6 linked regions of the Canis lupus familiaris genome follow. The protein of the gene in region 6 interacts with the protein of the main gene of each other region in a pairwise test. Links are inferred from orthologs where the notes say so. Each region holds a gene or a part of one and is shown on either strand. Other genes may lie near its edges.

Region 1 (3,572 bases), on a different chromosome or scaffold from region 6:
CCTGGCAGATTCTCAAGTCTTAGTTTCCCAGATTGTTATGGGAGCTCCCTGAGTCTCTATCTCCTCCTTTATAAAACAGAAACAGCCATCTGAACCCTGCCTACTTTATCATGGTTCCATTAGCATGACATGATGCTTACAAAAGTGCTTTACGGGCTCCAGGATGGATCATTTGGTAGCGTGTGTGACTCTTGATCTCGGGGTTGTGAGTTCAAGCCCCACATTGGGTGTAGGGATTACTTAAAAATCTAAATCTTTAAAAAAAAATTTAAAAGGTGCTTTACAAAATATTAAGGGCTTTTTTTTAAGGGTTTGCTTTTTTAATAATTCATGTAAGTTTATCATAATTTTATTTAAACTCCAGAGACAAAAACATCTTTACTTCAAACCTGAGAGTACATGGCTGTAGTCTAAGGAATTTAAAAAGCTTTAACTTGTGTAAATACACCATCATCTATTTCTTGACCTACAAATAAGGGACTTAACTTTTCTAACTCAACTGTGCCCTGAAATGAGGGGAAAAAAAAATCTCATTCAAAAATAAACTTTAAAATGTTATTTTATTTTATAAAGCACGTTAGGACAGCACTGACCCCATATATTATATTTAGTTTCTACTATCACCCTAAATCTCTTGTTCTCTTTCTGCAATCAGTCACCAACTTACCATCTTCCTCTCATTAGATATGAAGACAGCGTAACACTCTTCTAAAGGATACTGGTCATGGTTTTTGATGTATTCACAGAGCTTCCAGATATTTTCTTCACTGAAATAAAATAATAGTTTCATCAACATAATTATACAATGACTCTCTGTGTCTTTCAAATTTGAACAGAAGACTGATGAGGATATTAAAAAGTTGGAAGAGATTTTAAACACCACCTCATTCAATAACTAGCTGATGCCTGACCCTCCTCTAAAATATCCCCAACAAAGTGTTACCCAAATTATACTGTGTGCTGAGCTCTCTCCAAACACAGCAGTTGTTACCTGCCCCAGCAGTGTTTGCAAATGGAGGCATTTTATAACTGATAAAATGCTACATCAATACTCCACAGCTTTGGGTCCAGTGACTCGAGACACAGCTGGAATTCCAACTCAGCCACTTAAACAAGGTAAGAAGCTTTGAACATCTTGACCTGAGTATCTACTTTTCTTACCTGTAAAATGAGGATAATCATATTTTAAACACTTGAAAAATCTTAGTTAATATTGGTTCACTGCTCCCCTTAGGAAAGGGGCAAGAATAATGTTTTGGGTAGGAGGGCTTCTGGCTGGAAAGGACTGAGGGCAGTTACATGATATGCCTAGGAATTCTTTTGGAGAGAGACTCTGAGTGGGATTCCCTACATCCCTCTGGTACAACAGAGGTCCTGACTTTTAGAAAGTTTTCTCATACTGAATTAAAATCCACCTTCCTATATTTCAGCCCCAGATAAATGTCTCTATGACAGGCCTTTAGATATTTAAAACAGTAGTCAGAACCACCTAAGCAATGCCAAGTGCATCAAACCAAGCCACACTGGTGGCCACAGGCACACTCCCACACAGGTAAAAACATTCACTGCTGGCAGTATTCACAGCTCAGCCCCTGGATTATTTTTTTTCAATGAGGCACATAGCACCTTCGTTCAAAACAACCTGCATCAACACTCTGCTCATACTCATGATTCAACTGTCAAAGTCTAATTTCCAAACACCTACACTATGCCACTTGAAAATAAAGTAAGGCATACACGGCACTAAGGACTACCACCATTTTATGACACACGTTCAATGCAGTTTTGACCTTGTCTACCTGCACGACTACATTTAAAGCACCGAAATGAAGTGTATTTTTTTCCTATGATTTTTTTCTATAAGATACCTAAGAAATCTTAACAGAAAAAGTAGTGGCAGAGGTAAAAACAGGAAACTGCTACTACTTCCATAGGCTATGTAGTATGGGGTAAGCAAAAAGGTACAGTTTCAACATGACATATGACGTGTATTAGCTACATTTTAAAAAACCTGGATGTTGGGCAGCCCCGGTAGCTCAGTGGTTTAGCGCTGCCTTCAGCCGAGGGCGTGATCCTGGAGACCCGGGATCGAGTCCCACATTGGGCTCCTGCATGGAGCCTGCTTCTCCCTCTCCCTCTGCCTGTGTGTCTCTCTGTGTGTGTCTCTCATAAATAAATTAAAAAAAAAAAAAAAAAAAAACCCTGGATGTTCTAAGACCACATTTTTAGAAGACATGTCTGTCCAGCCTCTAGACATTCTTGAGTTGATCAAAGACATCAAGAACCCATGATATAAAAGCACCATGCTAAGTGGTTGGAGAATGTAATGATAAATTAGAGCTTGCAGACAGTGAGAGAAGACATACAGATCCATAAATAAGCAAGCATCATAGAAGGCCATAAAAGATGCACAGAAGGAAGCGTCATTGATTTTGAGGGGCACAGGAAGATGGAGGGCATATAGGTCAGGGGTTTCTCCTTGTGTTGCCCTTCCCCCAGGCCTAAGGATGGGCACAGGGTTAACACAAAGATTTTAAGAATCTGTGTGTACCCCAAGTACTGTTGGCAGGCTGAATATGTACGTGGCTGGACAAACTTTGTCTATTATCTTTCAAATATGTGTGAATGTTACAAAGAGAAATAAAAATTTAAACTAAGAGTCACTGAATTTGTAGCCCCTTTTTATTATCAATTTTTTTCCCAAGAGTACAATTAATAACATGTAGGAGGATCTCAAGAAACTTGATGTTTAAAAAAAGGGGGCCTGGGGACACCTGGGTGGGTGGCTCATTCGGTTAAGCATCCAACTCTTGATCTCAGCTCAGGCCTTGATCTCAGGGTTATCAGTTCAAGCCCTGCATGGGGCTCACTCTGGGCATGGAGCCTACTTTTAAAAGGTTGAGGGGGGTACTTATACTTGGAAATGCTGGGGTTACTGGTGGAATAGGAAGAAACCCAGATTTGGTATGAATCCTAGCACCTCTTTAAAAAAGGGGGGGGGATCCCTGGGTGGCTTAGCAGTTTGGCACCTACCTTTGGCCCAGGGAGCAATCCTGGAGTCCGGGATTGAGCCCCATGTCGGGCTCCTGGCATGGAGCCTGCTTCTCCCTCTGCCTATGTCTCTGCCTCTCTCTCTCTCTCTATGCCTATCATAAATAAATAAATCTTTAAAAAAGGGGGGGGGGGATTGTGATAATAACGTTCCAACCTACTGGTTGATTACTTTGTTGTAGCAGAAAAACTAACAACGCAGCATTAAGGTCAAGATTCTGCAAGGATTACTGGTGATGGGCTGAGATCAGAGAAGCATGAAGGTAAGGATCCCTGGCACACAGGAGGAGCTCAACCAACATCTGAAGAGTACAAAGAGAATCAGACATGTTCTGCAAACCACCTAGTGCCACACAAATACTGGTTACCACTATTATCACTCAGCTGGGTCTGAACAGATAAATAACATCTGACAGAAGCTAAAAGACACAGAGAGGAGGCACTTATTCCAAGTTATAAAAACCTGCAGGAGCAAACATAATAAGGTACACTATCTGATAGATTAAGACAAGATAGAACAG
Region 2 (3,002 bases), on a different chromosome or scaffold from region 6:
TCCACCACCCACCGTGGGAGGGTGGGGAGTACAGGCCCCACTCATGCCCAGCCCACCTGACTAGCTGACACCCGCCCCCCCCCCCCCCCCCGCAGGCGCTGCTCTGGAACACATCCATCCCCACAGCCCCAAAGTCTGCCTCCTCCAGGGAGCCCTCCCTGCCTCCCCCCACACAGATCTGCACACACCCCCCCCCCGTGGCCCCCGGATCGAGGAGCTCACCTCACCCCGCCCCCAGGGACACAGCCTCATCGTCCCTTCCACCCTCTGTGGCTGCTGCCCCACCATCTCTGACTCCACCACCTACTCCAGCCCTGGCACGAACCCGCGGCCTAGAGCTGCCCGCAGGTATGGCCTCCAGGGCCCTATCCAAGGGGTCCCCCGGCCAGGATCAATGCGCTCCCCGACACACGCGGGCTCTGCAGGGCGCCTCTTCCACGCCGCCCTCCAGGACCACCCGCTCCAGCCTCCGCCCTGCTCTGAGTCCTCAGAGCCCCGACCGCCCGCACCCCCAGGCCCTTCCCCCAGGGCCGCAGAGGGCAGGCTGGGGCGCTGGGGGGGCAGGAGCTGCGGCCGAGCCGGCCGTCGGGGCTACAGTGCGGCCGAGCGGGCCGGGCCGGGGCGGGGACAGCCTTCGCCGCGCCGGGCCGGGAGGGGCCGCGGGAAGGTCCCTCCGGGGCCCCCCTGCCCCCGCCCCCCGCCGCGGGTCCCCGCGCCCCCGGCCCCGGCCCGGCCCCGCCACTTGTTGCTGCGGCTCGGCTCGGGGCTCCAACTCTGCGCCCGCTCGGCTCGGCCCCGGCTCGGGTCCGGGTCCCGGTCGGGGGTTCCGAGGGGCGGGACCTCGGCCGCATCCCCGCGGACCGGCTCTGTACCTGCGCGCGGTCCGCCCGCCGCGCAGCTGTCAGTCATGCGGACACGAGGAAGGCGAAGCGCCGCCGTCGGGCCCTTTCGGTCCCGCTAGGCCGCCGTAGGCCGGGACGTACCAAGGCGAAGGGCCGGGGGGGGGGCGACGCTTGCTCCGGTAGCGGCCGCGTGGGCCCCGGAGCCCCCGGTCCGCGCGGAAGGAGCTCGGCCCGGCAGGGAACGGACGGCGGCGGCAGTGGGGCCGGGGGGCGGGCCGGGGGCGGCCGGGGGCGTGGCGGGACTGGGACTTCTCCCCCCCGCGCCATGGACGCGCCCTCGGCGGGGCCTGCTCCCGGGCGGAAGCGCCGCCCCGTCTGCCAGTCCCCGCGCCGCCGCCGCCGCCGCCGCCAGCGCCATGATCATCCCGGTCCGCTGCTTCACCTGCGGCAAGATCGTCGGCAACAAGTGGGAAGCCTACCTGGGGCTGCTGCAGGCCGAGTACACCGAGGGGTGAGGCTCCGGGCCGGGCGGCGTGCGGAGCCGGGGCCGCGGGGGGCGGGGGGGGCCCTGCTGGGCGCGGGGCCGGCGGGTCGGGCCGGGGCGCGGGGGGCGGGGCGCGGGGCGCGGGGGGCCCCGGAGGGACCAGGTGCCGGCCGCGAGCAAGGGGGCAGGCGGGCAGCGGGACTGCGGGACCGCGGGGACTTGCACACGGACCCCGGCAGGTCGTGGCTCCTGCCCGGAGCAGTTCGGGGCTCCCTGCCCTCCCGCCCTCGGAGGCCCCCGCGCCCGCGAGCCCGCGGCTCTGGGGTCGTGGGCCGGGCTTCCTGGCCACGGAGCCCTGCGGAGCGGGCCGTCCCGGGGCCGCTCTCCCGTCGCTGCCCGTCAGCGCGGGCGTCAGCACCGGCCTCGCGGGCGTCTGCACCTTTAACCCCGGCCTGCGGCGTTTGGGGTGAGCGGGGAGGCCAGGTTGCTGGGGAGTCTGTCGGAAAGACCGAGTGTGAGGGAACCGGCCGGAGGCCCTGGAAGCCCCGGGCAGGAACCGCCCAGCCCTGCGGCTTCCCAGCTCGGCGGCGCTGCACGTCGGAGCAGTGCTCTGGGGATTTTCTGGAAGCCCTTGGGGCAACAGGGGCTGGGCCCCAGGGACACTGACAACTCTAATCGGCTTGGGAAACGGCAGAGAGACGGCTCCCTCCGCGGGGGCGGGGAGGGGGGGCTTGCTCCAGCAGGGTTCGGGTCCTCCGTGTGCCCAGGACTGCCTGCCCCAACCGGGTGTGATCTGCCCCTCACCCACAGAGATGCCCTGGATGCGCTGGGCCTGAAGCGCTACTGCTGCCGCCGCATGCTGCTGGCACACGTGGACCTGATTGAGAAGCTGCTCAACTACGCGCCTCTGGAGAAGTGACAAGTGACCTGCTCACGCCCGTCACCCGGTCACCCGCTGTGCTCACCAGGGGCCGTCTGCGCCGTGCCCCCAGGCACTCCAGTGTGGTCGGGGTGGCATGGAGCATGCCTGTCCACCACCTGTGGATGTGTGTCCCTGCTCTGGAAAGAACTGTCCATTAAAGGTCTTTGCAGAACCATGAAGAGGTCCTAACAGTTGGCCTGGCTTTGTGGGACTCCCTGGTGTTTCTGTGTCCTGCCTCATGCTTGAAGCTGTTTGGGGATAGACGTGGCTCTCACCGTTCAGGGCCCAGAGGTGGCGGGGGTGGTGGAGGGCATCTCACAGCCCAGTGACAGTACACAGACAGCCAAGAGCACTCAGGTTGAGGGTCAGGAGACATTGGCCTGCCCACCACCAGGTTCTGGTTGACCTTTAGGACAAGCACGGAGATCCTCACATCCCTTCCCAGGATCTCAACAACCAGATATTTGAGCCCTGAGTGGAATAACTGCTGCAGTCTCGGCTGCCCATCCTGAGATCTTGCTGCCAGAAGCTTCTAGGCTCCAGCCAAGTTCCTGTGGAGGGGCAGGGATGGTGCCCAGCCTCCATAGCCAGCACTGAGACCCGCACAGTGGGTTGAGGGTGGCCCTGAGGAGGCTCTGCTGGGTGTCAGGGTTTGCCAAGCTCCCGGTGGCCTGGGTATTAGCACTTAATCCTACAGGCCTGCCCAAGAGCTATCTGTCCTATTCCAGGTCCACTGAGGCTTACAGCTGACAGC
Region 3 (3,066 bases), on a different chromosome or scaffold from region 6:
CTTAGCATAATGTTTCCTTTTATAGCTGAGTAATATTCCATTATATGGATATACCACATTTTGTTTATCCATTCCTTTAGTTAATGGGCAATTGAGTTGTTTCCACTTTGAGCTACTGTGAGTAATGCTGCTATAAGCATTTGTGTACACATTTCTGCGTGTACCTATGCTTTCATTCTTTAGTGTATATACCTAGGAATGGAATTGCTAGATCATAGGGCTACATCACAGAAATATAGGTCACAGAAATATAAATTCCTGCCCAAGAGAGTTAAGATACATGTAAGTCTCTTAATATGTATCTCCAAGTTGCTTTTCAAAAAGCTTTGAATTAAGTTTTAACTCTATGATTGAAGATCTTACTGTTATTCATGGTCGGTTCTCAGGAGTAATGATGTCCCAAAATAACAGCCTAGGACAGTGTTGTCCAATAAAAATATCATACAACTCATTAGGTAATTTAAAATCTTCTAGTAGACACATTTTTTAAAAAAGTAATAAACAGGGGAGTGTGGGTGGTGTAGTCCGTTAAGCATCTATCTGACTCTTGATTTCAGCTCAGGTCATGATCTCAGAGACATGAAATTGAACCTCACCTCGGGTTCTGTGCTGAGCACCAAGTCTGCTTGGGTTTCTCTCTGCCTCTCCTTCTGCCTCTCCCCTTGCACACTCGCGTGCTCTCTCTCTTTCTCTCTCAAATAAGTCTTTAAAAAAGTAATAAGTGAAATTAATTTTAATAATATATTTTATTGAACTCAATATATCCAAAATATATCTTTTCAAACTATATATTTAAAAATTATTGCTAAGGTTTTTTTTCTTCTTTATTCACATTCAGTTTCTGAAATCTAACATGTGTTTTACACTTTACATCTCCATTTGTTTTTGTTTCTGGTTTGTTTTTGTTTTGTTTTGTTTTGAGATTGTATTTATTCATGAGAGACACAGAGAGGCAGAGACGCAGACTCCCCACAAGGAGCCAGATGCAGGATTCAATCCTGGAACCAGGGATCATGCCCTGAGACAAAGGCAGATGCTCAGCCTCTGAGCCACCCAGGTGTCCCTCACATCTCCATTTGAACTAGGCACATTTCCAGTGCTCAGTAGCCAAGTGTGGCTTAGTGGCTACTGTATGGAATAGCACAGGTCTAGGAATTTGGCTATCTTCTTTGGAAGGTGGCAGGCGGTTACTTTTAAAAACATATCCTCATTTATGTCCCTTTGTTACCTTACTCTTTTTAATAAAAATGAAGCAGAAACAAAATTTAACTGACTAAAAAAGCCTCCTAGATAAGAGAATGGCTTACTAAATACTGTTTTACTGCTTCATATTTCTACCTGTTGAGTAACAATGTATAATGGGTGAAAAAAAAGACAACTTTAAAAGATACACTCCTTTATTCCAGCTTACTTGAACAGATCCTGGGGCTAGTTTTGTTTCTAGAATCTACATTATGTTACTGAATGCTAAACACCAGTGCAATGTTGCTCCCGAACATCCTGCTCACCGGTACCCCGGGGGTTGGAAAAACCACACTAGGCAAAGAACTTGCATCGAGATCAGGATTGAAATACATTAATGTGGGTGATTTAGCTCAAGAAGTCTGATCAACAGATATCATGGAGTCTGGCAAGATGGCTTCTCCCAAGAGCATGCCGAAAGATGCACAGATGATGGCACAAATCCTGAAGGATATGGGGATTACAGAATATGAACCAAGAGTTATAAATCAGATGTTGGAGTTTGCGTTCCGATATGTGACCACAATCCTAGATGATGCAAAAATTTATTCAAGCCATGCTAAGAAGGCTACTGTTGATGCAGACGATGTGCGGCTTGCCATTCAGTGTCGTGCTGATCAGTCTTTTACCTCTCCTCCCCCAAGAGATTTTTTATTGGATATTGCAAGGCAAAGAAATCAAACTCCTTTGCCGTTAATCAAGCCATATTCAGGCCCCAGGCTGCCACCTGATAGATATTGCTTGACGGCTCCAAACTATAGACTTAAGTCTTTACAAAAAAAGGCATCAACTTCTGCGGGAAGAATAACAGTTCCACGGTTAAGTGTTGGTTCTGTTACTAGCCGACCAAGTACTCCCACTCTTGGTACACCAACCCCACAAACCATGTCAGTGTCAACTAAAGTAGGGACTCCCATGTCCCTCACAGGGCAGAGGTTTACAGTACAGATGCCCACATCACAGTCCCCAACTGTAAAAGCATCAATTCCTGCCACATCCGCAGTTCAGAATGTTCTGATTAATCCATCATTAATTGGGTCCAAAAACATTCTTATCACTACAAACATGGTGTCATCACAAAATACTTCCAATGAATCATCAAATGCATTGAAAAGAAAACGAGAAGATGATGATGATGACGATGATGATGACGATGATGACTATGATAATTTGTAATCTAGCCTTGATGCTGTAACCTGTAAACTTGGTCTTAAATCCATTGTACTGAGATTAAACGTGCATGCTGGGTATTTTGAAGTTGTGTTGTAGAAAACTTAAATGGTATTTAATGAGTAAATATAGTTATCCTTTCCTATTGAATGTTGGGTTTTCTTTAATAGGATTAGTAATGGTTATTCATTAGCCTTTAAGTGTGAAAAATAAAATTGTTGTTCATCAAAAAAAAAAACAAAAAACACCAGTGCAAACATTCTCTTAAATTAATAAAAATTTCTTTTGTTGAGTCTTTAATGATGAAATGAACAGGAAAGAAGAAAAGCAAGAAATAGATTTGACTGTGCTATACTGATGAAAACCATGTTTTTCAATTTATTCTCACAATAAAAAGTATTTGATCTGAAATCCTATATAATCCCAGGATGCAACAATCCTTCTCTGTTGTATGGCAACTTCCTGCCATGCATAATTATTTTCCAAAAGCGTATCAGGTCAGAAATGAAGCAGAGAATGGGGGAAAGAGTCCATAGTGATCTTAGGCAGATTTTATTTTACTAGTAGGAATCAGTTGGATAGTTATTACCACCTGGCACTGCTAATGAGTCTAGTTGGGAAAACAAAGCAGCAAAGCATTCCACAGCAGACTGC
Region 4 (4,074 bases), on a different chromosome or scaffold from region 6:
CTGTAAGTACACCCACAATGACTCTCATGGTTGGACTTTTATATAATTAAAAGAAGTGTGGGGACGCCTAGGTGGCTCAGCAATTGAGCGCCTGCCTTCAGCCCAGGGCTTGATCCTGGAGTCCCAGATCGAGTCCCATGTCAGGCTCCCTGCATGGAGCCTGCTTCTCTCTCTGTGTCTCTCATGAATAAATAAATAAAATCTTAAAAAAAAAAAAAAAGTGTGACTTTGAGTTTGGTATTGGTTGATGTGATGTTTATGTGTGGTGGGAGAAATTGGAAGAAATGGATATTTTCTAAAATGTAATGCTATGAAACATTTCTCTCTTCAAAAATATTAACGGGCAGCCCTGGTGGCTTAGCAGTTTAGCGCCGCCTTCAGCCCAGGGTGTGATCCTGGAGACCCAGGATCGAGTCCCACATTGAGTCCCACATGGGTTCCCTGCATGGAGCCTGCTTCTCCCTCTGCCTGTGTCTCTGCTCCCACTCCCCCGCCCCGCCCCCGTGTGTGTCTCTCATGAATAAATAAATAAAACCTTAAAAAAATAAAAATATTGAAAATACAACAGATGTATAATTTAATAATCTTAAAACCATTGAAGGCACACTTGCTTGGACAATCTGTGCTGTTGGACTAAATCATCACCTTATATTACTTACATTAAAACATTTTTCCATTTTTTTAACCCATTCAAATCTTTGATCCCATTACACCAAATTAATATTGGCAAATGTACATATCGAACTACTGTGTATAATAAAAACAAACAGATTACATCCTCTAATAAGGGGGAAATGAGGCAAAACTTTCAAGTCTGGCTCTTAAAGAAAAATTAAACCAATAAAAATCTACACTGCATCTAACCAGAAAAGAAATGAGCTTTTACACTGGCATGGCAGGACAAATTCAGGACTGATGTAATATGCACAGGGCCCTAAAAGACCCACTGGCCATTCCAGAAGTCAAACTGGTAGATACATATGAACAAATAAGTAGAAAAATTAAAGAGCCATACATAATTTAATTGCTTTCCTGCCGTAATAAAAGATTTTCATAGAACTAATAAAGACCGCCCTGACACTGGAATTCTAGGATACATATCAGAAGTGTGTAGAGCCGACAGATATTTCACAGGCAGCTTGCCCCCTCCTTTTTTAATCTTTAACTTGTATCAAGAGAAGAATGTGGAAGTTAGGCTCAACTTCTTCCGTCCCCATTATTCCCTACAAGAGAATGTATGTAATTTATATATCAAACCATGTACATACAACTTCCCTTTACTTGGGAACTCCCTTCCTGACCTACCTCGTTTATTAGAATTGCTAGCCCTGGCAAGGTCATAGCCGCACTACAGAACCATGTCATTTCACTTCTAGTATTCCCCCTCGGCTAGCTTCACTTGCCTTAAAAAACATTCTGATCCCCAAGCAATGGTAATATCCTCGCTGTCCTTTTCCAGATCTCCTCCGTCTGGTTATTAGTGCCCAAAACTCCTCCTGAAATACTAAGCAGGCAGGAAAGAGCGAGCAGCCCATTCTGCTTTCGAACACGAAGGAAATGTTGGACCTTCTCTACACAGCTTGGGAATTTTCTTTGGGGCAAAGTCTAAACAATGTCTTCGCTCTCTCACTTGGGAAGGAAGCTTGGTAATTCCCACACTTCTAACCACCCCCCACCCCCCCACCCCCCACCCCCGGCTTCTTCGCCTCTTCGGTGAGCGGGAAGGCGGAAAGGGCAACTCACAGTGACAGGAACGGTCTGAAGAACAAGCAGTATCTTGCGATTCTCTTTTCCCAAACTGAGGGAGAAAACGGAGACGGAGCTGAAGAACCCAAGCTACGGGCGCGCACACTAGGAGAGGAGTCGACCAGGCAGTTTTCCAGAAGAGGTTCACGCCTAGCCCCGTTGGCCAAATAAGGCTCCGGAGCGGGCCGTTTCCGCGGCGGGCAGGTCCGACGCCCTCACGGTCAGGAAGGCGGCCTTGGGAGGGGAGCTGGCGATCACACCCCGGACCTGCCCTGCCCTGCCCTGCCCTGCCCTGCCCAACGCGGCCACGAATTTTCGCTCCTCTTTCCCCCCTTCCTTTATCCACTTCTGTCATCGAACGCACCGAAGGCACAGCCTCAACAGAAGTCCCAACAAGTACTCGAGTATCAACAAATCTGGAGATTACCACAGATTTTTTTTTTTTAAAAAAGCTTTCTTTCAGGTCGCACGGCAGTCTGCCCACACGAGTACTCAATTTTTTAATATCTGAGGGGAAATAAACACGTCTCAGGAGCGAGAAAGCAAACAAATAAAAATAACGCGCCTTTCGCGTGGAGCCCCGCTCCCCACACGCCACGAGGTTCGTGCTTGACGTGGGTGCGCCCAGGGGTCCCGGCGGGTCCCCGCCGCCGCCGCCGCCGCCGCCGCCGCGCTCGTGCCGGACCACCCGGGCTCCGGGAACTCGCAGCGCTCGCGCTCTGGCCCTGCGGCCGCTCCCGCGCCGCCCTGCCCCGGAGCTCGTCTTCCCACGCGGCTCTCACCTCAACCGCTCCGGCAGGCACCTGAGGAGCCGGCCCCGCGCGAGGCGCGCCCCCTCCTCCTCCTCCACAGCCGCGCGGCCCCCCGCGTCCCGGGCGCAGGGAGACCGCTTCGCGCCCTCCTCCCTCCGGGTCCGCATCCCCGCCCGGCGGCCACTCACCTCGAGCCCGCAGCGCCGCCGCAGCCTCCGCAGCCTCCGCCTCAGACGAGCGCTGACAAGTGACTCGGGGTGCGCGCGCCGGCCCCACCGCCCCCGGGGACTTCCGCCCTCTCGCACTCCCCGGCCCCGCCCCCAGGGAGGACACGCCCCCCCGCGCTCCCGGCCCCGCCCCCAGGCGGGGACACGCCCCCCGCGCTCCGGGCCCCGCCCCGGCGGTGCAGGGCTGCAGCGGCGGTGCAGGGCTGCCCGGGGCGGGCGGAGTCGGGCGCGCGGGCGTGCCGAGGCGCGCTGCAGCCGGCGCCGGAGAACAATCGAGCTACCGAGTTTCGGTGGGAGTAGTCAGGGGATTCCGAGCAGTACCTGGCAAAGGTACGCTCCGCGTGTCTGTTTTGTAACGGATGCTTTTCTCTCTCCAGAAATGAGTTGGCAAGCAGTTGTTCCGGCTAAAAATAGAAGGGGGCTTTGGATAAATCCCTAGCTATGCAAGTTCAGCGGCTACTGCCTGGTTTTTGGAGAGAGCTTTACATGCCCTAAAAGGTGCAGACCCTGAAGTTTACGTGTCAGGAAGGTGGAAACCGGTAACCCGTAATATCTAGAAGCTAAATTCTGTGATCATACCAGAATACAGGGATAGAGAGCAAGGGCCAAAAGCCGTTTAACCAGCATATCCTCATTATTTTTTTTTTTTTCGAAGTCCGACAAATCAGTAGCCCACTTTTCAGTTTCTATAAAGTTGTTGGATTTATCCCAAGGAATTTATTCATAAGCAAACTTAATGTGCAGTGAATATACAGAAAGTAACCTGTTGACTTTTTTTAAATTTTTTTTTTAATTTTTATTTATTCATGATAGTCACAGAGAGAGAGAGAGAGGCAGAGACACAGGCAGAGGGAGAAGCAGGCTCCATGCACCGGGAGCCCGATGTGGGATTCGATCCCGGGTCTCCAGGATCGCGCCCTGGGCCAAAGGCAGGCGCCAAACCGCTGCGCCACCCAGGGATCCCTGTTGACTTTTTTTTAAAGATTTTGTTTATTCATGAGAGACACGGGGGGGGGGGGGGGGGGGCAGAGACACAGGCAGAGGGAGCAGCAGGAGCCTGATGCAGGACTTGATCCCAAGGACTCCAGGATCACCACCTTAGCCAAGAGCAGACATTCAACCAATGAGCAACCCAAGTAATTGGGTTCTAGAAAGTGAAAAGGACAGTTTTTAACCAAGGGTCATGTAAAGCAAGAATGAACTCCATGAATCTCCTAAATGTACAACAGCCTTCTAGAGAAGGTCCAATACTGCCCTGACCAAAATGGTAGCCACTAGCCACATATGGCTATGGAACATTTGAAATATGTGACTAAGGCACTGAATTTTTTGTATCATTTTAATTAACA
Region 5 (4,134 bases), on a different chromosome or scaffold from region 6:
TCTGAGATGGTGAACAATCAAGAGAATAAGCCTACATGGGTAAGAAAACAGAAGGAATAACCAGGACAAAAGCCCTAAGTTAGTATGTTTAAGGAAAAATAAAGCCTGTATGGATGAAGAGAGTAAGGGGAAAGTAGTAGAGGAGGTCAGATTGGCAACAGGGGCAGATCATGGAGGTCTTTTAAGTCATCCAATTATTGTGAGTGGACTGTAAGGGTGACTGTATGCTAATTAGGAAGCTACTAAAAATAATCCAGGTGAGAGATTATGGTGGTTCAAATAGGACTGTGTTCCAAGGTGATGAGATGTGGTCTGACTCTGATTTATTTATTTATTTATTTATTTATTTATTTATTTATTTATTTATTTATTCATTCATTCATTCATTCATTCATTCATGAGAGAGAGAGAGAGAGAGAGAGAGAGAGAGAGAGACACAGGCAGAGAGAGAAGCAGGCTCCATGCAGGGAGCCTGACGTGGGACTCGATCCCGGGTCTCCAGGATCAGGCCCTGGGCTGAAAGCGGTGCTAAATCACTGAGCCACCCGGGCTGCCCGACTCTGATCTATTTTGAAGATACGAGTCAACAAGATTTCCTAACATATCAAATGTGGAATAAGAAAGAAATCCAAGGCTTGCCTTGATCAAATGGAAGGATAGCATCCTATTAACTGAGCTGATAGTGGGAGGAGCAGGTTTGGCGAGAAGATCAGGATTTCTGTTTTGGACACATTAAATTTGAGATCTCTTGGGACGCCTGGGTGGCTCAGCGGTTGAGCGTTTGCCTTCAGCTCAGGGAGGGATCCCAGAGTTCTGGGATCAAGTCCGGCATCGGGCTCCCTGTGAGGAGCCGGCTTCTCCCTCTGCCTATGTCTCTGCCTTCTCTCTGTGTCTTTTATGAAAAAATAAATAAAATCTTAAAAAAAATAAATTTAAGACGTCTATTAGATTTCAAATTGGGGATGTCAAAAAGGCAGCTAAAATAGAAGAATCTGATTTTCATGGAAGAGATCAGGGCAAGAATACAAGGGTGGGAACAGTTACCAAATAGATGGTACTTAAACCGTGAAATGGATGACAGCACCAGAGAAGAGATATGAAAAGAAGAGGTCCAAGAACCAAACTTGTGGCATATCAATGATAAAAGGCTGGGGACAAAAGAGCCAGCAAAAGATGCTGAGAGGTGAAGAAGTACTAAAACAGGAATGGGATGGCTCAGAAGCCAAGTAAAGATACCGAACCCAGGAGGCCAGTGTTTAATTGTGTCAAACACTGCTCTCAGGACAAATGAAAGATGTGACCTGAGAAATGTATTAAGTGACCCGGAGGTCAACACTTACACCCTAAAAAATTAAAAAAAAAAAAGACCATCTTTTTATTAGTCTCTCTCCCTCTTTATAGCACCTAAACAATATCGTTCATTCTGCTTAGAGCTCTCTCTCCACTAGTTTTCAGCACCAAAGTCATGTAACCTAGGAACCCTGACCCCCAAAACTAATGCTCTTGTTTTAAGATGAAACTATACTTAAAAAAAAAAAAAAAGATTTTCATTTATTTATTTACAAGAAACACACAGAGAGAGGCAGAGGCATAGGCAGAGGGAGAAGCAGGCTCCCCGCTGGGATCCCGACGCGGGACTCCATCCCAGGACCCCGCGATCCTGCCCAGAGCCCAAGGCAGATGCTCAACCACTGAGACACCCAGGTGTCCCAAAACTATACTTTCATCATGAAATGTATTATTCGAATCGTCAATTTAATTGTCTCTCAGGTTAGACTGTAAGATCTTGAAGTCAGGGTCATGGCTATCTTGCTTCCTTTTTTACTCAAAACCATCTAAACTCCTACCTAGCACAGTGCAAAGTACGGACTAGACAACCTACAAGAATGTACAGAACAGATGGATAAACGTTAGGAGTGCTCAATAGTGTGACCAATTAACTTCTTGTTGGTCTAACTTAGAGACTGCCTAGACGCAAGCATCTAAAGCAACAAGTGGGCATAGAGAGCTCTGACCACCCTGAATCTATTCCAGGGCTGGGTCTCCCATTTCATCACCTTTGCAAGGGTGTGATGCGGACTCCTTATTCAATTTCACTTTTTTTATTCCAAAGGATTCCCCTGGCAGAACCTTTTGGCCGTCTATCTACTTCCCCCTCCCTCCAAAACTAACCACCCTCTTCCTGGCACCCCCCTCCCCCACTTACCCAGACGCGTGGTGCGCTCGCGCGGGGCTGCGGCCTTGTTCCCAGTCCCATGCTCGGTCTCGAGTTCCTCCTGTTGCTGCCGCGCTTGCTGCAAAATCCGTCGGGTCAGCCGGGGCCCCACATACTCTTCGTCCTCCTCTCTGGTCCCACGACCCCGCCGCTTCTCCCGGGGCCCTGCCCGCGCCGCGTCCCCAGCCAGGATTTGCTCAGCCAGCGGCGCATGTTTTTCCTGGCCTGCAGCTCCGCGAGCCGGCTTGAATTTGGGCATTTTTTTCCAGAACTCTGCCAGAAAGGTTTACACGTGGGGTACAGACGAGGAAAAAAAAAAAAAAAAGCCTTGAGCGCACTTGCGCCGTGAAGTCCCAGCTCCCAAGAGGCCCCCGCGGAGCTCACAGCGCCTCCCGGCGTCCGGAGGCCGGGAAGGCCATCAGCGCCGCCACACCCCGTAAGAGCGGGGCCTGGAGCCAGCCGGTCCCCGAATGAACTCACTGCTTCTAACGCTGGCTTCTGCAAGTGGTGGCAGTCCGAGCGGTGGTTTTCTACTTTCATAGATCGAGGACCTCTGTTCCCAGCCAAACGTGGACTTGCCTAGCTGCAAAGCCGGGGCCAGAGTTGGGTAGTGACGTCACTGGAGGCGTCACCGAGGAGATGCCTAGACCTGCCCCTGTTCCTCGTGGGCGCGTCGACTGGACGCTCTCCTTTTGCGTCATTTCCGGAGCACCTCCCTCGGCCGAAGCTTTCGTTAGGGGTCTTCACTTAGTGTGGGCGGCCAGAGACTACTGTGATCCGATTGTTTGTTCCTGCCATCCTCCTGGCCCGATACCATGGGAGTGACTTGGTAGGCCCGCAGGGGACTTTTTTGGGCGGCGCTCGGGGTCGGGAAGGGCCCCGGAGCCCGGAGTGTACCGGGAGGAGGGCCGGGACCAGGGACCGCGGTCCCCCATGAGCTGATGAAGATAAGATATCTTCGGAACGTGTGGGTGATGGAGACGCTGCGAGGGCTGCAGATTCTCCGCGCTTGTTTGCTCGGAGACACTTCCCTTCGTCCTGAAAGGCGGCAGGTGAAAGGTTTTGTCCCAGGAGCCCATCAGTGGTTGTGTTCCTCCTTCCCAGGAGGCCATAGGGCTGCCCGAGGTGGAAATTAAGGATGCCCGAACTAGGACCCAATCTACAGGCGTAGCTAGAGGAGGTAAAGGATAGGCAACGAGGAAACCGTCTTTTTTTAAAGATTTTCTCCTGCCCCTCCCTACAGCCACTTAATGCAGTTAGACCGGCCCGTGTCTGGTTCTGGTGCGGCCGTCTTAAGATTTTCGGTCTAGAGGGAAAAAAAAAAAAAAAATAAGCAGCAGCAGCTGTTGGGAGGTAGATTGGGGTTTAGGCACGTCACCTCTTCAGAATTCGTTTCCTACTATGTTTAATTGTATGGTTGGTGTAACTAATTACTATGGACTTTTAATCTCTCAACATGATATAAGTGGGGTGGCAGAGAAAGGTATGGGCCTAATGCTCTTGGAGAAAATGCTAGATTTTAGGGATTGTTTTGTTTTGAGTACCGGTAAGTATTAGCACGTTTCTAGTTAGGGCTGGAGCCTGTGGGAACCACTCTTTTTTTAAAAAAAAATTTTAATTTATTTATGATAGTCACACACACACACAGAGAGAGAGAGAGAGAGAGAGGCAGAGAGAGGCAGAGAGACATAGGCAGAGGGAGAAGCAGGCTCCATGCGGGGAGCCCGACGTGGGATTCGATCCTGGGTCTCCAGGATTGCACCCTGGGCCAAAGGCAGGCGCTAAACTGCTGCACCACCCAGGGATCCCTGGAGCTAGTCTTTCTGATAGCTCAGGTTCTTGTAGGCTTGTCGGTTACTGCACCTGTGTTTTCTGCAATGGATATTTTAAGCCTTTTCTAAGTTTTCTAGTGTAAGGGA
Region 6 (3,572 bases):
GTAACACTTCCCATTACAGATCAATAAATACACATTTGATACACATCAATGTCATGCAGGTTAAAACTGGACAGCACCACCGGCCCAATAGCTCCTAGATCTAATGCATCTCATTGGACTAAGCTTTGCAACGATAGACTCTTCAGTCAAAGCAAACTTTCCTGTTCCAGAACATTTGTATCTCTCGTGTTATTGTGAAATAAGACGGCAGTTTACAATACTCAACTAAACATGATGACTCAGCATGGAAGTTTAGTTCAATATGATTTTATTTAAAAATTTGCAAAGCTGAAGAGGAACCTAATCTTTGTTAAAAGGAAGCAATTTTCACAGTATATATTTAGCCATTTTAGCTTTGTGTTGAATAATAACAGAAACCAGAGTTTCTGTTCAGTCCTCACTCCAGCACACTCAGCCAGGTGCTTGGGATCTTGTAGTAAGATAACAGGTTCCCTGGCCTGAACTCATAGGAAATCCCCTCACCCAGGTGGAATACCAGTTCGTCCCCAGGCAAACATACAAAGTCTTATTTTCATTGCTCTACCCAGGGCTCTGGAAATCCTCAATTTTAAAGTTGAGAAAAATGTGAAAGGATTCCTTAACTCATTGCCTGCAACAAACCCAGTTACTTTTAAATTCTTGACAGTTACAAGTATAAAATACTTGCAATTTATAAGATGTTCCACATTTAATGGAACAACTCGAATGTTAAAAAAATTAGGTCAAGTAACATGCTTTCATGTTTTAAAATGTTACTTAATAGAACTTACTGAGACAAGATATGCAGCATTTTCTTGTACTTGGTGTTATAAACTCCTACTGACGTTGGCTACTTGATGGTCAAAAAATAAATAAAAAAAGAGAAGAAACCATATATACTGATATATAACAATGCCTGCAGGGAATGTCATGTTTTAAATTTTGTTACTGAAATTAAGCCTGGAAGAAGAAAAAAAAGATCTACAAAAAGCATATCCATGTTATTTTAAATGATGAGGTAGATTTTTTTTCCTATGCAGTAAAGTGAACAAAAAATGCATACAACTTTCGAATCTTTTTTTTTTTTCTTAAAGTTCAGGTTATAGTCGCTTTCACCAACAAAACATTTATAAACTATGAGGTGGAGAGGTCATCCTCAAGCAGGCTCTGTACTTGGTGTGGTACTCAGAGATTCAACAATCAATCTTGGGTCAATCAACTCCCTCCAAAAAACAGTGATCTGGGGAAAAACACAAAATATTTGGTTTAGAGGTTTCATTTTGAGGTCACAGAAATTTTAGTTGGTTAAAAACTTCAGTCAAGTAAATTTCCATTTGTGCAGAATTGGCTGAAGAAGACCTGGAATGATCTGAGTCCCAGTAAGCTGAGTTCAATTAGGACAGAAGCACCTGTTTACCTAGAATGCAACTACACTTTAAACACATTTCACAAAAAATAAATAAATAAATAAAATAAATAAACACATTTCACCCTTCTCTCATTTCAAGCAGGGGGTGGGATGGGCTAGGGTGTGGGGCAGCTGGTTACCCAGGGTCAAGAGGATTTGCCCAACCAGACCCTGTGGCTCAGTGGCACAAATACTCTTCATAGGCAGATATGGCCCATTAGGGTTATTACTGGACTCCTGATGTTCCTTTGCACAGCTCTACAGTTCCTATCCTTTGCTACCTAAATCTAGGCGGTTCAGGTTTTACCAAGAGCAAATACTAACGCTTGGCCATGTGGATGAATCACGAGGGCCATCTAGTGTCAGAGAAAGGTTAATGAATGACAGGCTCTGCTTCAGGCCCCATTTAATAAGGCATAGAGAGGAAAGCTTCCAAGGTTTAATTTTCCAATGTAGTTTCCAAGAATACATTTCAACAAAAAAGTGAACAGGCATACATTGCAAATAAAGAAGTACAGGAGACTTGGCCAAATCTGCTGATCCCACAGACCCTAAAAATGTATTTTTGGAATAAATCCCTAAAAGTGTCATCTATCCTAAAGACAAAGCAAAACATAGTCTGGTTAGGGTTTCTACAAGTTTACATTTCTAAAATGTGACTTTTCAATACTGAAAGTTACAGAATAATAACCATAACATTTCAAATATAAACACCTTAAGAGGAAGCATTTTCTTAAATATAAATTCTATTTAGCTTAATGTTAGCACAGCCTCATGAGTCAGTCATTGCCAGCAATTCTGGAAGTCTGGCTGTCTAAAAGCTCTAAACCAGATATTTCCTAAAATGGCACTTTAAGGATTTAAGCAGAAGTCAAAAGACAGAATCGTCATTTTATGTCATTCTTTGAAACCATCTATGCTGTTGTAAGTCACAATCACAGTAACAACCGGGAGGTAGTAGTAACTACAGGGAGGCATGATGGAGACTTCCAGGGGGGCTGTTATTAATGTTCTGCTTCTTGACCTAGGTGCTGGTGATATGGGTATGTTCATTTGTGACAACTGTTCAAGCTATATATTTAAGTATACTTTTCTCAATGTATATATCAATAAAGTTTTTTAAATACACTATTCTTTTCTACCAAAACTGTGACATAACTACGATTTTATGCAACTCTATAGTCTTCAATAAGACTTTGCTATTTGTGCGCCTTGTCACATAGGCTCTTTGAGATCCAAGATGGCACCCTAACTTGGCACTGGACACTGAAACTGCCACCCTGTAGGCAGACCAGGGATCCCAGGGCCTACATCTTTTATGGCTTTAACATAGGCAGTTCAGGAAGCTGCAATGTCACCTTCCAGACCACCAGGAGCCAGTGGAGAGAGAATGAACAACCAAGCAATCCCAAGAAGAGAAGCGTGCCTACCCTCTTCTCCTGCGTCACAGCGTACTCCACTACCTCAGTTCCGTTTTCGTTGTGATAAACCAAATCAAATTTCCCAGGTTCTTTCATGGCTGAAACCAGATGGTAGGAAGGAGAGACAATAAGTCATTTCCCGGTAGTGAAAATGTTCATCTACAGGGAACTTATATCATTAGAAAAACAACCACAAACAAACTGTCCACTGATGTAGAGGCTGGGTATGCACATGAAAGCATGGAGTGCTCAGTGACAGGAGACCCTTAAAAAACCCTGTAACAAAAAAACAAAACAAAAAAACAAACAAACAAAAAAAACTGTAACAGCAGAGGTAGTTTCTTGGTCATTTATCAGAGACAATCTTTCCTTCATCAAAAAATAAACAAGCTTGTCACCCTGTTATTAGTACTCTCAGAAAAAAAAATATATGTGTAACCATTAGATAATCCAAAAGATCATTGATATGTTCCAGCAGGGAAAGGCAATATGAATTCTGCAAAATTTGTCTATCTTGCTCTGTGTCCTCAGAAATTAAACATGCTTACAACTTGGTAATACAGCAGTCCTCACTTTGTATGGTAGTGTGAGGCTACAAAAATGACCTTGCAGGCTGAAATCATGCAAAACAATCTGAATAATCAAATGGGGAAAATTATCAGGACCTTTTAAAAATTGTCAAAACATTAAAACCTATTGTACTGGGAGATGAAAAAAAGAGTAAATATAGTACACTGTAATCTAAAACACCAGAAAGACTAAGA

Evidence for each region.
Region 1: the proteins of COIL (region 6) and NTAQ1 interact in binary tests that used the Homo sapiens proteins (3 or more experiments, as listed by UniProt). The link is inferred for Canis lupus familiaris from reciprocal best matches to the Homo sapiens genes COIL and NTAQ1.
Region 2: the proteins of COIL (region 6) and POLR2L interact in binary tests that used the Homo sapiens proteins (3 or more experiments, as listed by UniProt). The two-hybrid records come from large-scale screens. The link is inferred for Canis lupus familiaris from reciprocal best matches to the Homo sapiens genes COIL and POLR2L.
Region 3: the proteins of COIL (region 6) and TAF9 interact in a two-hybrid assay, tested with the Homo sapiens proteins (2 studies listed by BioGRID and IntAct). The link is inferred for Canis lupus familiaris from reciprocal best matches to the Homo sapiens genes COIL and TAF9.
Region 4: the proteins of COIL (region 6) and PDLIM5 interact in binary tests that used the Homo sapiens proteins (3 or more experiments, as listed by UniProt). The two-hybrid records come from large-scale screens. The link is inferred for Canis lupus familiaris from reciprocal best matches to the Homo sapiens genes COIL and PDLIM5.
Region 5: the proteins of COIL (region 6) and BYSL interact in binary tests that used the Homo sapiens proteins (3 or more experiments, as listed by UniProt). The link is inferred for Canis lupus familiaris from reciprocal best matches to the Homo sapiens genes COIL and BYSL.

What each region holds. Positions count from the first base shown.
Region 1 is NC_049234.1:22,159,678-22,163,249, reverse strand, and holds part of NTAQ1 (protein N-terminal glutamine amidohydrolase), read right to left. Parts: intron 768-3,572; coding exon 668-767; intron 1-667. UniProt on the Homo sapiens protein: Mediates the side-chain deamidation of N-terminal glutamine residues to glutamate, an important step in N-end rule pathway of protein degradation.
Region 2 is NC_049239.1:45,633,248-45,636,249, reverse strand, and holds POLR2L (DNA-directed RNA polymerases I, II, and III subunit RPABC5), read left to right. Parts: upstream 1-1,188; 5' UTR 1,189-1,258; coding exon 1,259-1,353; intron 1,354-2,136; coding exon 2,137-2,245; 3' UTR 2,246-2,437; downstream 2,438-3,002. UniProt on the Homo sapiens protein: DNA-dependent RNA polymerase catalyzes the transcription of DNA into RNA using the four ribonucleoside triphosphates as substrates.
Region 3 is NC_049257.1:19,523,880-19,526,945, reverse strand, and holds TAF9 (transcription initiation factor TFIID subunit 9), read left to right. Parts: upstream 1-1,492; 5' UTR 1,493-1,620; coding exon 1,621-2,418; 3' UTR 2,419-2,557; downstream 2,558-3,066. UniProt on the Homo sapiens protein: The TFIID basal transcription factor complex plays a major role in the initiation of RNA polymerase II (Pol II)-dependent transcription.
Region 4 is NC_049253.1:22,629,832-22,633,905, forward strand, and holds the start of PDLIM5 (PDZ and LIM domain protein 5), read right to left. Parts: upstream 2,817-4,074; 5' UTR 2,687-2,816; intron 1,892-2,686; exon of another isoform or gene 1,744-1,891; intron 1-1,743. UniProt on the Homo sapiens protein: May play an important role in the heart development by scaffolding PKC to the Z-disk region. May play a role in the regulation of cardiomyocyte expansion. Isoforms lacking the LIM domains may negatively modulate the scaffolding activity of isoform 1.
Region 5 is NC_049233.1:10,768,227-10,772,360, reverse strand, and holds the start of BYSL (bystin), read right to left. Parts: upstream 2,853-4,134; 5' UTR 2,696-2,852; exon of another isoform or gene 2,489-2,695; 5' UTR 2,475-2,488; coding exon 2,207-2,474; intron 1-2,206. Other genes in the region: MED20 (mediator of RNA polymerase II transcription subunit 20), read left to right, coding at 3,031-3,044. UniProt on the Homo sapiens protein: Required for processing of 20S pre-rRNA precursor and biogenesis of 40S ribosomal subunits. May be required for trophinin-dependent regulation of cell adhesion during implantation of human embryos.
Region 6 is NC_049230.1:31,705,610-31,709,181, forward strand, and holds the end of COIL (coilin), read right to left. Parts: intron 2,907-3,572; coding exon 2,818-2,906; intron 1,220-2,817; coding exon 1,136-1,219; 3' UTR 252-1,135; downstream 1-251. UniProt on the Homo sapiens protein: Component of nuclear coiled bodies, also known as Cajal bodies or CBs, which are involved in the modification and assembly of nucleoplasmic snRNPs.